Tamandua tetradactyla: one gene and its partner. The protein of the gene in region 2 interacts with the protein of the main gene of each other region in a pairwise test. Links are inferred from orthologs where the notes say so. Each region holds a gene or a part of one and is shown on either strand. Other genes may lie near its edges.

The links. The genes of interacting proteins can lie anywhere in the genome.
Region 1: the proteins of PADI4 (region 2) and ANXA4 interact in binary tests that used the Homo sapiens proteins (3 or more experiments, as listed by UniProt). The two-hybrid records come from large-scale screens. The link is inferred for Tamandua tetradactyla from reciprocal best matches to the Homo sapiens genes PADI4 and ANXA4.

Annotation. Positions count from the first base shown.
Region 1 is NC_135343.1:43,204,481-43,212,057, reverse strand, and holds the start of ANXA4 (annexin A4), read right to left. Parts: upstream 3,378-7,577; 5' UTR 3,219-3,377; intron 1-3,218. UniProt on the Homo sapiens protein: Calcium/phospholipid-binding protein which promotes membrane fusion and is involved in exocytosis.
Region 2 is NC_135328.1:209,024,163-209,032,765, forward strand, and holds the start of PADI4 (protein-arginine deiminase type-4), read right to left. Parts: upstream 3,540-8,603; 5' UTR 3,471-3,539; coding exon 3,364-3,470; intron 1-3,363. UniProt on the Homo sapiens protein: Catalyzes the citrullination/deimination of arginine residues of proteins such as histones, thereby playing a key role in histone code and regulation of stem cell maintenance.

The DNA of each region.
Region 1 (7,577 bases), on a different chromosome or scaffold from region 2:
CCACGGGTGGGTTAGTGACCCATCAAAATTAAGGGCTTGTAAGAGCTCTGAAAATAAGCTTTAAAGTTGAAGAGAAGGGAAGAGCTCTTTCCAAAGGACAGTCGGGTGCCTCTCAGGCTCTGACCTCTCCTCCCCATCCCCATCCCCAGTGCAGCAATGATAGTGACAGCTGAGGACATAGCCCATATGCACTGATGCATTAGTGCCAATTAGGATAGGCACCTTGCAGCTGGGTGCATGGCTTGGTGAGTGGAAACAGGCTGAATTTCAGCCCTACCCCCTCCTACCCCTACCCCCTACCCGCCCCAGCCAGGAGCACTTACGCAGTGGTTATCCTGGACAACCATATATTGCAACCCTGATGCAGAAACAGAGCCTTCTCCTGGCCTTCAAATGCCCATAGCAAACACCAATTCCTAAAAAGTGACTTGTTGGGGGAGATGAGGCACTAGAAGGGCACATCCCACCCCCAGATGTATCCTTAAAATCCTTGGGCAGCCACTGTTGCGCCTGAATTTCAGTGTGCTTTTCAACAGGCATTATCAATTTTAGTTTTCTATTCAGGCTTGGTGTTGACAGCGTCATTTCAGATGAAATGGAGAAAAGGTTGAGAGCTTCTAATGTAGTGTCCTTAGGAAAATAACACTACAGTGCTTTGTCACACTTTAAAATCCATGGACAAAGGAAAGAACATAGAAGAAAGTCAGCGAGGATGTTTATTCATTTAGCAAACATTTCTTAAGCACCTGGGTTGAGACAGTGGGCTAAGCGGCAGGTTCAAAGGTGACTAGAACAAGAGTCCCTCTGCCTGGCAATCCCCACCACCACCTCCATGCCCCGGAAAACCCTTACTGTCATCTCCCGAGTTTGCAGTTCAAAAAGCTTGTCTTTGGTGAAGCTTTCTCCTATTTCCATCTACATCTAGTTTCTTCATAGCACTTTGAGTGTCTTTCTAGGCACTTATCCCATTTTATTATAATTACTTCTTGACGACACTGGTATTTCCAGTAAAACATAGACCCCTGGGGCTTGTCACTTTCATATTTATATCCCCAAGCTTGCCCCAGGCCACATATTTAGATGGAAAAGATGTGAATTTGGTAAATGAATGAATATTGAGCATGATACTTTACATCTATGAATTAGTTTATAAAGCATTTATCATATAATTTTTCAAAATATATCTTTATAATATCTTTTTCTGTGAGGCATGTAGAAAAGTCTAATGTTATTATTTCCATTTACAGAGAACTCAAAGGGATCAGTGCCAAAGTCATTTAGTATTTGAATTCAGATTTTTTTCATTTCTATTCTATTTCCATCCTATCTTGCTGTTTCTCTTACTATGTCTGGCAAATCACTGGTGAAAAGTATCCATTCTTACCAAAAATTGATTACAGGAATATGATACGGTCTTTTCTGTAAAAGAGCTGGAAAAAGCCAAGGGATCTCGATCCGTCCTCATTGTCTAGTGAAACATTCCTGCATTTAGGATTTAAACACTGAAGAGTGATTGCTTTAGTCTCCTAGCCGCTAAAACAGATGCCAGACACTGGGTTGGCTTAACAAGAGGAGCTGGCTCAGGGTTTCAGAGTTCAGAAGGCTTGCTTCCTCCCAGGGTCAATTGATTCTAGCTGGTCGACAGCGTTTGGTTCCTTGGCTCTTGTGTCATATTACAATGCAGGTAGCAATGTCTTCTTTCTTTTCCAGTTCCTTTGACTTCTGGCTTTGGCTGCTCCCCCTGGCTTCCCTTTCCACGTGACTTTCACCCTGCTTATAAAGGATGCCCGTGACCCAGATCAAAGCCCAACCTGATTTAGTTGGGCCACGCCTTAGCTGAAGTGACATCATGAAGATGTGTAGCCTAAATACAGGCTAAGACCAAGAGCATGTCCTAACTCAGGTACACTGTTCAGTCCACCACAGTGACCTTCCAGTCTCACAAACGTGATCATGTTATTGCTTCTCTGGTTAATTTCCCATACTGCAGCAAGAGGCTCTTTTAAGAACATTACATCTGTTCAAGTCATTCCCCTGTTTAAATTCCTTCTGTGGCTCCTCCTTGCCGTCAGGATCTGTTACTTTGCCTGCTGGGAGGGCCTTCATGATCTGGCCTCTGCTGAGCCTTCCAGCCTTATTTCTTTCTTTGGCTGCCTCTGCTCCTCTCCACCCTGAATGTACCTTGCATCAGCTGCCCTGAACTTCCTGAAGTTCCAAGGACGATGCACTGTCCTCTTTCAGCCAGGAGGCTTGGAAACCATGAGGTTGGAGTAGCCTGCCTGAAAGTAGTCCCCCAGGCAGTGCTGCAGTGAGAGGTGGAGCTGAAAGGAAGCAGCCAGGGAAGTTACCAATACTAGCATCATCCTCAAAACAATGGAAAGTTCCTTGGAGGCAGGGATGGCAATTGTCTTGCTTGTGTCCCTCTCCCTGACTTGCAGGGTCAAGTCTTAAGCACATGAAACCAATTCTGAATGGGATGAAATCACCTTCTCAGGAAATATTCTGCAATCTGCTTGGTTATTTTGGGAGGGGGCCCATTTACTAAGCAGAATGAGAGTCAGCACACCATAACAGCACCGCCAATTCATCCATTCCTTGAATGAATTCCTAATCACCTTGGTGATTCCTAATCACCATATGTATGGATCACCTACTATATGCCTGATACATTGGGACTATAATAACAATCAGGAGCCTTATGCCAATTGGTAAAAACTGGAAAATTAATCGATGATTAGAAGACAGTCTGTAACTAACACAGGGAGAAGGAGAGCTAGCTCAGACTTGGAATATCAGGGAAAGCTTTACAAAGGAGATGATACCTAACTTGAGTCCTGAAGGACAAGCAGAAGCCACTTAGCTGTGTGTATGTACACATTCACACGTGTCTGTGTGTCCTAGCGTTCCAGACAAGGGAAGCAGCAGGTGTAAAGCCTTGGAGTCAAAGCTAAAAAGCATGGCAGATTCTGAGACATGCAAATGATTCTGCCAGTCCGGACCTGACTGATCCTATGACCCTTCCTAGTGACCTCAAATTCTGGGTTAGTATTTCCCAGACATAACTGAAATACCATCTGAGAAGGCTAAGTATAATTTAGCTCCTGGCTGTGAATTACATCTCCCGAGAATCTCTGAGTGCAGGGAAGAGAAGAAGGAAGGGTAGATGATGAATATGCAGAAGATGGAGGGCTGGCAGTGATATTTATATTGCAATTTACCTTCAACAGCAGCCTTCTTTTGGAACTCTGAGGAGCAGGGATGACCTTGGCCCAATTTATCCAGAAAATGTGGGATCCTAGCTTCTGTTATGTAGATGCAAGCAAGGTTCTCCTTGGGTCACACAGCAGGAGCTTGACATTTGGATAATGTGATTGATGAGTTCTGTCCTCCCACTGAGGACCCCCATGGTGAGAGAGAACTCCGGAAAGGAAGTAGCCCAGGGACTTTCCAAACCGAACATCTGCAATGAAATGCAGAACATGCTGAGCTACACAAGACCAGACTTCCCACCATTAACAAAACTTTAAAATTCAGCCTTCTTCCCTAGAAGACCTCTCTGAAAGCATCCTAGCTGGATCACTTTCCTGAGAAGGTGATTTCATCCCATTCAGAATCGGTTTCATGTGCTTAGGACTTGACCCCGCAGATCAGGGAGAGGGACAAAGATTGTGTGATTTTCTCAGCGTGCTTGTCACCTGGTAGAAAGTCAAGCTCCAAGGGCATGTGTTATAGGGATCTGGGCAGATCCAGAGTGTAGGCATTGCAGAGAGGATGAGATACCAGTCCAGAGTAAAATAAGGGGCCCAGGGCACCTAGTGCTGACAGAAGGCTTTTGGGGAAGAAGTCACGGGGAACAAGAAATTCCAAAGAAGAGAAGGGCATGGGTCAGGGAACTTCTTACAGACCCCTAGTCTATTCACAATTTTCTCTAGGACTGTAGATACCTCAGAGTCATTATGAAATCTACTATCCTCGTCCCTCCCCTTCTCTCCTCTTAGAACTCAATGAAAAAAAGTATTAATTGTGCAGATCCTTTATACTATCAGTGAACAGTTTATAGCTCTTTGAGAATTCCCCAATTCTCTAATACCATTAGTAGTTATGAATGCTGGGCAGAAGGTAGGTTCACTCACTAGCAAAATAATAAGGCTTGCAAAGCAGCTAAGAAGACACATGACAGATTTCAATTTGTGTTGAGATCTTTATAGGTTCCTTCTCATTTAGACATCCTATAGACTTGGGAAATTGATATCATTTTCTGTTTTCAAAATATCTGCATATAATAATCTTTTGATATGTCACTCTTGTGCTTTTGCTACTGTAATTGTTAGGTTCTGGTGTTAGCTTGGCCAGGTGATGATGTCCAGTTGTCTGGTCAGGCAAGCACTGGCCCGACCATTGCTGCAAGGATATTTCATGGCTGGTTGATAAACCAGAAGGTTGATGTATTAAATCATCAGTCAGTTGATTGCATCTATGATCAACTAAGGCATGTTTCCTATCAGTAAGATAACCCTGCATTCAGTGTTGTAGCTTGAGGGGTTAGAAAGGGCATTAACAGTTTGTTTGGATGGTTGGCTGAAACACGGATTCAAAGGTGGTCAACATTACCTGAGGTCAAAATGCCAGAACTGCTTTGGTGTAATGTAGATGAGGCGATCCAGAGGCTTAGAAAGATTGGAATGCTAGAGTGGGCTTATCATGGAAGACCTCAGGAATGTCCAGAGGACACATCTTTCACCAGGACCTTGAGAAATAAATTCATGAGACCAGCTACATCATCCCTGAAGAGTTCTTGTACTCGCTTTTCTCTATAGATCAGATATTACTCTGGGAACTGTTGTCACTGAGCTGGAATCCTTAAATACAATGGGAATGATTGGATCCCAAGTTAGCAGAAGCCATGTGGTGACAGTTAATCACCACATACAAGGTGGGGGTGGCCACCATAATGGACAGCAGACTCAAAACAGGGGTCAAAATAATCTGACCCACAGAGACTTGTGGCATTGACTAGTAGATCATGGGGTACCTAGAAGTAAAACAGATAGGTTCTACTAAATTCTTGTTTGAGCTGTATAAGCAGAAGAATTCTAGGTCAAGTAAATAGAAGTCCAACATGAGTTACAAAAAACAGAGAGTCATGGGCCCTTAATCAATTTCCAGACTTGGAAAGTCTACAGACCCAGAGCCCCTTGAATGAGGGAAGGGCTTGTTACCCTTGCAGAAGGACCCTTTAACCCCACCCCAAAATTTATAGTTAACCTTCCCCCCAGCCTTCCAAGGAGACCTACGGCCTTTTACCAGGGAGACTGTGCATTGGGGAAAAGGACATGATCAGATATTTCAGGAATTATTAGACATTGGCTCAGAAGTGACACTAATTCCAGAAGACTTAAAACGTCACTCTTGGAACGACATTGGTAGCTCAGCAGGCAGAGTTCTCACCTGCCATGCCGGAGACCCACATTCACTTCCCAGTGCCTACCCATGTGAAAAAAAAAAAAATCACTCTCATTCACCAGTCAGAGTAGGGGTTTATGGAGGTCATGTGATTGATGGAGTTTTAGCTCAGGTTCATCTCACAGTGGGTCCACTGGGTCCCCAGTCCCATTCTGAGGTCATTTCCCTAGTTCCAGAATTCATAATTGGAATTCACATACTCAGCAACCAGCAGAATCCCCACATTGTTTCTCTGACTCATGGAGTGAGGGCTATTATGGCAGGAATGGCGAAGTAGAAGTCCCTAGAACTGCCCCTACCTAGCAAAATAATGAATCAGAAGCAATACCGTATTCTTGGAGGGATTGCAGAGATTAGTGCCACTCTTTATATATACATATATATATATGTTTTTATTGACAAGTCTTCACACACATACGGTCCATACATGGTGTACTAGTTTGTAAGCCATTGGAATGAGATATACCAGAAATGGAACAGCTTTTAAAAAGGGGAATTTATTAAGTTTCAAGTTTACAGTTCTAAGGCTGTGAAAATGTCCAAATTAAGGCATCCAGGAAAAGATACCTTGGTTCAAGAAGACTAATGAAGTTCAAGGTTTCTCTCTCAGATGGTAGGGCACATGGTGATGTCTGCTAGCTTTCTCTCCAGGCTTCCTCAACTTTATCTCCACGGCTCTGTCAGTTCTGGTTGCTCTTTCCAAAACAGTTCCCTCTTAAAGGGCTCCAGTAAGCAACCCCACCTTGAATGGGTGGAGACACATCTCCATGGAAACCATCTAATCAAAAGTTGCCACCTACATTCAGGTAAGTCATGTCTCCATGGAGACAATAAAAAAGATCCCACCCAGAAATATTGAATGAGCATTAAATGACATGGCTTTTCTGGGGCACACAACAGATTTAAACTGGTACACATGGTGTACAAACAATGGCTCACAATATCATCACATAGTTGTGTATTCATCACCATGATCATTTTTAGAACATTTGCATCATTCCAGGAAAAAGAAATAAAAAGAAAAAACTCATACATCCCATATCCCTCACCCCTCCCTCTCATTAATCACCTGTATTTCAATCTACCCAATTTATTTTACCCCTTACTCCCCTTATTATTTATTTTTTATCCATAATTTTTACTCATCGTCCATACCCTGAATAAAAGGAACCCCAGACACAAGGTTTTCATAATCACACCATCACATTGTACAAGTCAGACCATTATACAATTGTTCTCAAGAATCAAGACTAGTGCCACTCTTAAGGACTTCAAAGATGCAGGGGTGGTGATTCTCACCATATCTCCATTCAACTCTTCTATTTGGCATGTGCAGAAAACAATGGGTCTTGGAAGGTGACAGTGGATTATCATAACCTTAACCAGGTTGTGACTCCAATTGGAGCTGCTGTTCCAGATGTGGTATCATTGCTTGAGCAAATCAACACATTGCCTGGTACCTGGTATGCAGCTATTGATCTGGCAAATGTTTTTTTCTCAATAGCTATCAGTAAGGGCCACCAGAAACAGTTTGCATTTACCTGGCAAGGCCAGCAGTAGACCTTTATTGTCCTGCCTCAGGACAACTCTCCAGCCCTATGGCACAATCTTGTTCTCAGGGACCTTGATCATTTCTCCCTCTCACAGGACATCACATTCGTCCATTATATTGATGATATCATGTTGGTTGGACCTAGAAAACCAAGAAGTAGCAACTACTCCAGACTTATTAGTAAGGCATTCGTGTGCCAGGGGATGGGAGACAAATCCAACAAAAATACAGGGGCCTTCCACCTCAGTGAAATTTCTAGGTGTCCAGTGGTGTGGGGCATGTCAAGAAAAACCTTCTAAGGTGAAGGATAAGCTGTTGCAACTGGCCTGTCCTGTGACCAAAAAAGAGGTGCAATACCTAGTTGGCCTCTTTGGATTTTGGAGACAACATATTCCTCATTTGGGTGTGCTACTCCAGCCCATTTACCAAGTGACTGGAAAAGCTTCTAGTTTTGAGTGGGGACTGAAACAAAAGAAAGCTCTGTGAGATTTCCAGCTTGCTGCCCCCTGGGCCATATAATCCAGCAGATCCAATGGTGCTGGAAGTGTTAGTTGCAAAGAAG
Region 2 (8,603 bases):
AAGGACTCTCAGCCACCATCAGAAACTCTCTCATCAGAGAGTTTCGACCAAGGCAGGCTAGGACAGAACCTGGCACCTTCCTGCTCTCTGCCTCAGTTTATTTAAAACCTACTTGGCCAAACCGAAACTTCACAAGGGCCCTTGTTTCCCTGCCAAAGCCTGGAGGCTCATTCTCTTGGCCCAGGGCACGCTGTTTTCTTTAATACTGACCAAGCCACAATGATAAGCCAGGCCCAGCTGCCAGGTGCTGGTGGGAGGGACACACCTTGTGTCCAGTGGGACAGGAAAAAGAACAAAGGAATCAAAGACCAGTGGGAAGGCCATGGCTCGGGGCCAAGGGACACACAACATCTGGACCGTGGGGTCAAGCCTGCCTCAAGTGGCTTCTTCTGGAGGGGCAGCGAGACAAATGCAAATGACGGGATCGTCACCATTTCCAGGCCTCGCAGCCACCCTCTCTGCTGGACATGGCACTGAGGCTGAGCAAAGGGACGCTCAGCTGGACCCAGTCTCGGACATGCATTCTTTCCTTTGGCTGTTTCCCACATACTTCCCCACCCCTAAGCAAGGAACTTTCGTGGACGTGGGGGTTTTGTGTGTGTGTGTGTGTGTTTGCAGGCCCCCAGGCCTGTGTTATTTCAAGACAAACCACAGCTGAATCTTCTGACACCCTCTGTAGAGCAACACGGAAAATCTGAGTCCCCGACAAGTGACATCGTTCCTTTAACTCCTGCCCCAGAATTTCCCTACAGCTGACCCTAGGTTGGCTGCACGTGCTGCCTGCAGTGCTGTTACATCGCCCTGCCTCCTGCAGCCCTTACAGGAAAGGGGTCTGCTCTGCCGGACCCTTGGCTTGCGTTATATAATTGAATCCTCGCCACAGCCCAGCACGCCAGAGATTACAGACGGGGAAACTGAGGCTCAGAGACACTAACAGACTTGCCCATGCTTCCTTGCCATGAAGTGGTCTTCTACTGAGGACGAGACTGGGAGGGGGAGGAGAAGCCCCTCGATGGCAGCTCTGGAGCCCCCCGTCCTCTGGGGTTTGTGCCTCCTGGCCCCCACCATGCCACAGCCCTTCCGATGCTGCGTGAGTTCAGCCACCAGAAGCAGCACCCAGGGGGACCCCTCATAGTGCCCGGAGGCAATGACATCGGGGAAGCAGGATGGCTTTGGGGCCAGGTGGCCCTGCTTTCAAATGTCTTAAATCGTGTGGCTTTGGACAGGATTTGCTTCTTCAGGCTCGGTTTAGGCACCCTAAAATGGGTATCCAACTGTTTCCCTCATAGTATTCCTGTAAGGGTAAGGAATCACTGACAAAAAGGGCCAGACACCAGGCAGCTGGGAACATGAAGCCTGCCTGACCCCAGCCACCAGCATCCCGTAAGCCCTTGACCTTGTGCAAGGTCAGCAGGATTGTGTTTGAATATAATCAATGCATCTCCCCATTGCAGGGAAAGCAGTTTCCAAACCAAGTATTAAGATCACCAGCAGAGCTTATGAGAGGAGCTTTGGATTAGGAACCCCCATTCCATCCCCCGGCCCCAGCTGAAGTCTGTTCTGACCTCTATGACCTTGTCATTTAAACCCCGAGGGTCCCGGAGCCCGGCGGCAGAGGGCGCAGCCCCAGCAAGGGTTTGGAGGTGCGTGCACAAGGCCTGGGGGCGGGGGTCGCCAAGGAAGGAGGGCGGGTGAGAAAGGCAGGCCCCTCCCTTCTGTTTTAGGAGGAGAGTCTGGCCTGCAGGGAGGGTGATGACTGGGCAGGAGTTGGGGAGAAGCACCGGCTGGGGGGCTGGGGTTAGAACAGATTAGAGGGGAGAGGAAAGGTTGGTCCAGGGACCGAGGAGATGGGGTGTCCTGCAGCCAGGCTGCCTTCCCTGCTCACTAGCTGTGTAACTTCAGGTCATTACTTGACCTTTCAGAGTTTCAGTATCCCCTTTTGTAAAATAGGAATAACAGATCACCTACCTTATAAGGCTGTTTGAATGAGTCATATGTAGGAAGTGGAATGTAAATATTAGCCATTATTATGTGAGACATTCAGGAGACAGGATTGACAGGACTTGGTAATTGATGAAGGAGAAGGAAAGAAAGATTTTAAAGTACCTGGGAACTGCAGCGTTCCCTGTCCTTTTGGGGGAGAAGGGGGCAGTGTCTCCCTCTTGGTCCAGTCTTGGCCAGCTCACTACCTCCCAGTTCTGGAGCCAGAAGAAACACTTATGACCCTAGCCCATCACTTCTCGGTCCAGCCCTGAGAGTGGAGAGGGGGTACACTGGGAAGAAGGCTAGCCTGGGCAGCTGCCAGGGAAGAGGGCTAGCCTGGGAGGGAACCGAGCTAGCTCTGACTCTTTTCACTCCTCTGCATCCAACATCAAAGAGCTCATTCTCAGAGGAATTGGCTGCCCTCGAATGATGTCAGACTTATTCCCCACACCTCTCATTACCCCACCTCCCCTCCCTGGCCCCGGGAGGCCACACTGCTGTTCTCTCACTGCCGGTGAGCAGGCAGTGGTTGGCACTTTCAAGGCCATTCTAGGAGCACAGCGGCTCAGCCTGGGGTGGAGGAAGCCAGGGGCTGCCACTGCTCTTACTGACAACAACTATAACGACAGTACCCATGGACGCTCCCTAGGAATATCCTGGGCCATTTTGCTTACTGCAAAGTCTGGCATACAGCTTGGCACATCGCAGGTATTCAATGAGTGTTTGTTGAATGAATGAGTGAATAAACTAACAAACCAAAGAACAACTACCAGGGATGTGCCCTGTGCTGTGCTAAGTACTTAAATATTTTCACATTCAAGCCCTAGACCTTCCCTGTGAAGTAAGTCAACATCTGTGAAATGTCAGCACCATTTCACAGATGAGGAAACTGAGGTTCAGCTGCCTGAGGTCACCCAGCTAGCCAACTGCAGGGCCAGGTTCCCAGAGCCCACCATTGTGTACCCACTGAGGACTGCTCAGCTGATTGGGTAACAGATGGCACCATGAACCAAGGATGGGTCAAGAGGCCCAGGAGCTAAACTTGCTTCCAGAGCACACTTGCTGTGTGATCTTAGGCAATCACAGAACCTCTCTGAGCATCTGTTGCCATAAAGGCGAGAGGAAGTTGGCCCTGTTTGCTTTGTAATAATTATTTATGGTGAGGCCCCAGGGAACCCCCAATTGTACATGGGAAAGAACCTACTCCCATGAGCCTGGGCACCTCCCAGGGCCTCTTGTCTCTCCCAGCGGCTCCCTGGGCACCATCTGCAGAGGCTGGAGTCTGAGCTAACCACACGTTCCTGTGTCAACAAAACAGGTTCATCCGGTGTCACTGGGCCTGCCCCCACCCCCAGGCCCCCAAGGAGTCCTCGCTCTCACCTGAAGACATCTAGCTGAGTCTTGGTACCCAGCACACACACGGCATGGGTGGGCTTCTCCGGGGCCACACGGATCATTGCTCCCAGGGCCATTGTCCTGGAGCTCATCCCTCCAGCTGCAGGAAACCCCTGGACTGGCTCCTTTATACTGCCCAGCAAAGGCCATGAGTCAGCACCTGTGGTTTGCAGCCCCAGAAGCTAAGCCCCTCCCTGCTCAGATTTCAGGGCGTGTGTGAGCAGCCCTCAGACCCAGTAGGTGTCAATGCCAGAATCGGACAGCCCAGGGCTGCCAGTTTCCTGGGAAGGCCCAAGGGCTTGGGGAGCCTTGGGAGGGGTGGTAGAGGCCCAGGTTCTCAAACCCATGGCCCATTCCTTCCTGGAGGCCATCTGCATCCGCCCCAACCTCACCTGAGTTCACCCAACAAGAGAAAGCAAGAAAACTGGGGCTTGGGAGATTCTAGGCAAGACAGCATAACCCGGGCTACACCCTCCAGTCAAACCAGAGTCAGGTCAGGTCTCCCAGGCCAGGACGCCTACGTGACAGCTAACCCTTTTGCAACATTTTCTGAGTCCAGGCACCTTTCTCCCCACTTTAATCCCCACTTTAATTTGAGTGGATTAACTCATCACAGAAAGCCTCGGAAGGAGGTACTCTTATTATCTCCTCATTTTATCTTCCCAGCAACTCTCTGAGATTAATACCATTCGCATTCCCATTTTACAGAGGAAAAAACTGAGGTTCAAATGACATTTATTAGCTGTCAGTCCGTGTGACTCGTGCCTTTCAGATTTCTTTGTATCTACTCCATGACAGCGCAACAGATATGTGTGCATGATGTTGCTACCCATTTTTGGGGGTTGTTCTTGTTGCTACCCATTTTACAGAAGGGAAAGTCAAGGCCCAGAGAGTAAAAGTGACTTGTCCAAGGCCCCATAGCTTGGGCGTGGCAGAGCTGGGAGCAGAAGGCGAGCTTCCTGACCTAGAAGTTGGTGTTCTCTGTACCCTCCAGGATGGCTGCCTCTTTCCAGGGCATCTGGGCATCAGACTGGACAGTTCAGGGCAGGGCCATGGCAGCCACAGGGATGCTTGGCCACAGAGGCACTTGGATACAGGGCTGTGGTTGCCCCTGGGTCGTTCGTGCAGGCTTCTGCCTGCTGCAGGGAAAATGGGGGAGGAGGGCTGGAAACACCCAGGAGCACCACAGGGAGATCTGAAAGGAGCACCGAGCCTTTGGGGATTGGGGATTTTGTGTGTGTTTGTCTGCTTTGGCATCTAAACAAAGAGTTTGCCTCTTTAATTAAGAGCCGGTCTTTGGGTTAGGCAGGCCCGAATCAAAACCTGCCCTAGGTCCTCATTCCCACAAAGTGGGTCCCACCATGGTGCCACCTTATAGAGAGAGGGCCCCTAAGGCTCATGGAGGCTAAATCCCTCTCCCAAGTTCCCACCACCCATAAACTCGGGATCCAGGATCCAGCCCCCTTCTCTCAGCTCAAAGCCCATTTTCCTTCCCAGTAGATACTGCAGCCAGCCGGATGCTCGGATGTGTCTACACAGCTACTTGTGCGTGTAAGTCTCAATTCGCCCGACTTCTTGGCTGGCCTGTGATTAGAACTAGTATGAGTTCCTTATGAAAGTTGGCAGGAGGGAACCACCAATTGTCAGAGTTGGGAGGGCGCTTGGAGGACACCAAATCCAGTCCTCACTCGCTACAGACGGAGAATCAAAAGGGGGGGTGTGTGTGCGATACTTCCACAGTCACAGCAAGTCAGTGGGATGGCTAGAAACTACCCACATCTTAGGTCTCCTGGAGTAGTTTCCTTTTTTCTTTTTCTATGGCAATTTGAGGCTTAAACTTGCTGTGAATAAGTTTAAGAGAATAAAGAGGACACACCAAAAACAAGTTAGTTAATTCAACAAAGATTTACAGAGTGTCACCTGTTTGCCAGGCACTGTTCCACGCTCTGGGGATATTCAGTGAATAAAATAGACAGAGATCCCAGCCTCCATGGAGCTTATTTTCTAACAGAAAGAGACGATCATAAACAAACGTAATAAACGAATTATATAGTATGTTAGGGGGGGCACTGCTATGGAGAATGGAAAACAGGGCAGAGCAAGGACCATCAGGAGTGCAGGGGGCAAGGGGCAGTTTGCAATTTTAAATAGGGTGAGCAGGACAGGTGACATTTGAGCAACAGCTTGAGAGAGGTGACAATGTGGATATTTGGGGGACGAGCGTTCCAGGAGAGGGAACAGCCAGTGCAAAGGCCCTGAGGAAGAGAGAGATATGCCTAGTGGGTTCAAGGAAGAGCAAGGAGGCAGGTATGGCTGGAGTGAAGGGAAGGAGGGAGAGAGTAGTAGAAGAAGAGGAAGTGCAGAGAACAGGAGACTTTCAACTCTCTGCACTCTCTCTGCATTGGGTGGGGGGGGACTTGGGCGTTTCCTCCAAGTGACATGGGGAGCCATGAGGGTAGGGGGTGTGGTTTGAACAGAAGAGGAACAAATCTGGTTTATTCGAACATGACTACTTTGGCTGCTGAGACCCTGGCCTGGCTGTTAACTTCACAGAATATGTCAACCCTTTCAAACCCGGAAGGGAGCCTCAGAGTTGGGAAACAAAATTCCCCCTGCATGTGGAGGTTACTGGCTCAGAATCGGGACAGAAACCCTAGGGGAAGGGGCCCTCTTCCTGCTGAAAGGCTGAGTCACGGGCCTGGCCTCCGGCCAGGAGGAAGGATGATATTCTGAGGGTTGCCCAATGGCCTCTGGGTGTCTGGGCCCAGGTCACCGAGCACCTGAGCTGACATCCTGGATGTAGACAGCCCGGCTCACCTGCCCCTGGTCCCTGCGAGGGCGTTATTCCGGGAAAAGCAACTGGGGTCAGAGAGGCTGCCCGAAGCCTCTGAAACCCAGCACAGTGCAGAGCTGCATTTGGAGTTGATGGCCGTTCATTCCTTCAGCATCGTTTTGTCCACAGGTACAGTTAGGATTATTTATTTAGTGTCCATTCACAAGTATTCACTAAACACGGACTCGGTGCCTGGCATGCTCTAAGAGGCTCATTTAAGCTCATTTAAGGACTCAGGGAGGTGACGGCGGCCACCGTCTATTAAACAGCTCCTCTGGGCCACACCCGTTTTATTTCTACTTCTCACCAGAACCTAGTGGGGCAGGAATGTCATTCTCATTTCTACAGAGGAGGGTAACACGGTGCTCAGTGTCAAAACTGCCTTTGTCTGCTCTGGTGCAGCCCTTTCCTGGGCCAGCCCCTGCCACGCACCAGCTCTGCTCTTCACAGCCGCCTTGCCGCCTGAGGTCCACATTCTCCCCACTTTCCAGGTGAGGAGACTGAGCCTCAGAGGGGTTAGTAACTCACACGGGCTATACAGACAGCAAGTGGGGACGCTCGAGTTTAGCTGTGCTCCGCCTGACTCCCAAGCCTGTCTGTCTTTGTCCGGCTCTGCCCATCACACAGCCACCCACAGGCCGGGTCCCTCTGCCAATGAGCTCTGAAGCTCCTTCCAGCATGAAGACGTCCAGCGCCTCTCCCTTTCCAACACCAGAACTTCAAGCAGAGAATTGGGAGCATCAGGGTCATCCAGACTGGCTGAAGCTTGCAAATCTCTCCCTCTGCACACATACCCTGCAGGGCCCTGCTGCTCACTCTGCTGTCCTTCACGAATCCTTCCCGGTCACCCTTGGGTGCATGGAGGCAAAATGATGATTCTCACACTGGCTAGGCCCCACCTGGACCAGTTCACATGCGCTCGCTGGTGCAGACCTCAAGCCAGCTGAGAAAGGAGGCTTTGTCAGCCACTGACAGGTGGGCAGCAGGTCGGGACAGAGGTGGAGATGGAACGCAGGCCTGTCTGCACCAAATCTTGTCCTCTTCCACTCTGCTGTCTCTGAGGAAAGGAAAAGGGATCCAGCCCAGCTGAAGGTCAGGGCTCCTGTGTTTATGGACCAGCTCCTGTGTTCTGGACATTTTCGTGGACTTATTTACAAACTAATAAACCCTCACTGAAAAACAAAACAACAGCCCATTTTTGGTATATTGCATTCAAACTGAAACAATCAGATAAGGTAGACTTTAGAGCAAAAAATTTATGGTACCAGCTCTCACCCTGTCCTTGACCCTCTGTGACCACATCCCTTCTACCGGCTCCCAGGGACCACGGCAGGAGAATGTCAGCACCAAAGAAAGCAGGGACTCAGCTGCCTGCTGAACCCTGAGTGCTAAACAGTGTTTGGTACATGGGTGGTGCACAATAAACACTGTTTTATTGAAGCAAAGACACCATTTGTTTTAAGATACATCCCCTGCCCCAGTAACTTTTGTTGCTTTTGCATCTTTGTCAAAAATATTTCTAGATCTATTCTACTGTACTATTGATCCACTGCCGATATCCACCATCTATTCCTCTGCCGATGTCACACAGTCTTTATGACTGTAATTGTGGATCCGTTTCTCCTTCTAGATCGATCTTTTTGCTTCATAAATTTTCAGCTCTGTTGTTTACTGCATACCCATCTAGGGTTTCTATATCTTCTTGGGGAACTGAACCTTTTATCATTGTGTAATCTTCCTGCTTCTGGTAAATTTTTTGCTCTGAAGTCTACCTTACTGATTGTTTCAGTTTGAATGCAATATACCAAAAATGGGCTGTTGCTTTTTTTCAGTGGGGGGTTATTAGTTTGTAAATAAGTCCACGAAAATGTTCAGATTAAGGCACCAAGAGGAAGACACCTTCTCAGAGGAAAGGCTGCTGGCATCTGGGTTCCTCTGCCACATGGGAAACCAATGGCAATGTCTGCTGATCCTTCGCTCCTGGGTTGGTTTCAGGGACTCTCTTTCACCTCTGGAGGCTCTTCTCTGGGTTCCATCTCAGCTCTCAGAGGTTCATCTGTCTTTTGTCTTTTCAGAAGGACTCCAGAAAGGGGATTGAGACCCACATTGAATGGGCTGGGGCACATCTCCATGGAAACAACTTAATCAGAAGTTCCCACCCAACAACATGCATGACCCCAAAGGGACAGATTAAGAGAATATGGCCTTTTATAGGGTACATAACAGCTTCAGACCAGAACACTGATATTAATAAAACCAATTTAATGCTCTAATGGTTGCATGAAATAACTTTTTCCACTCTTTTACTTTCAACCTACTTATTTCATTATATTTGAAGTGAGTTTTCTTATGGACCACATATAGTGGTCATGCTTTTAAAACATTCATCCTG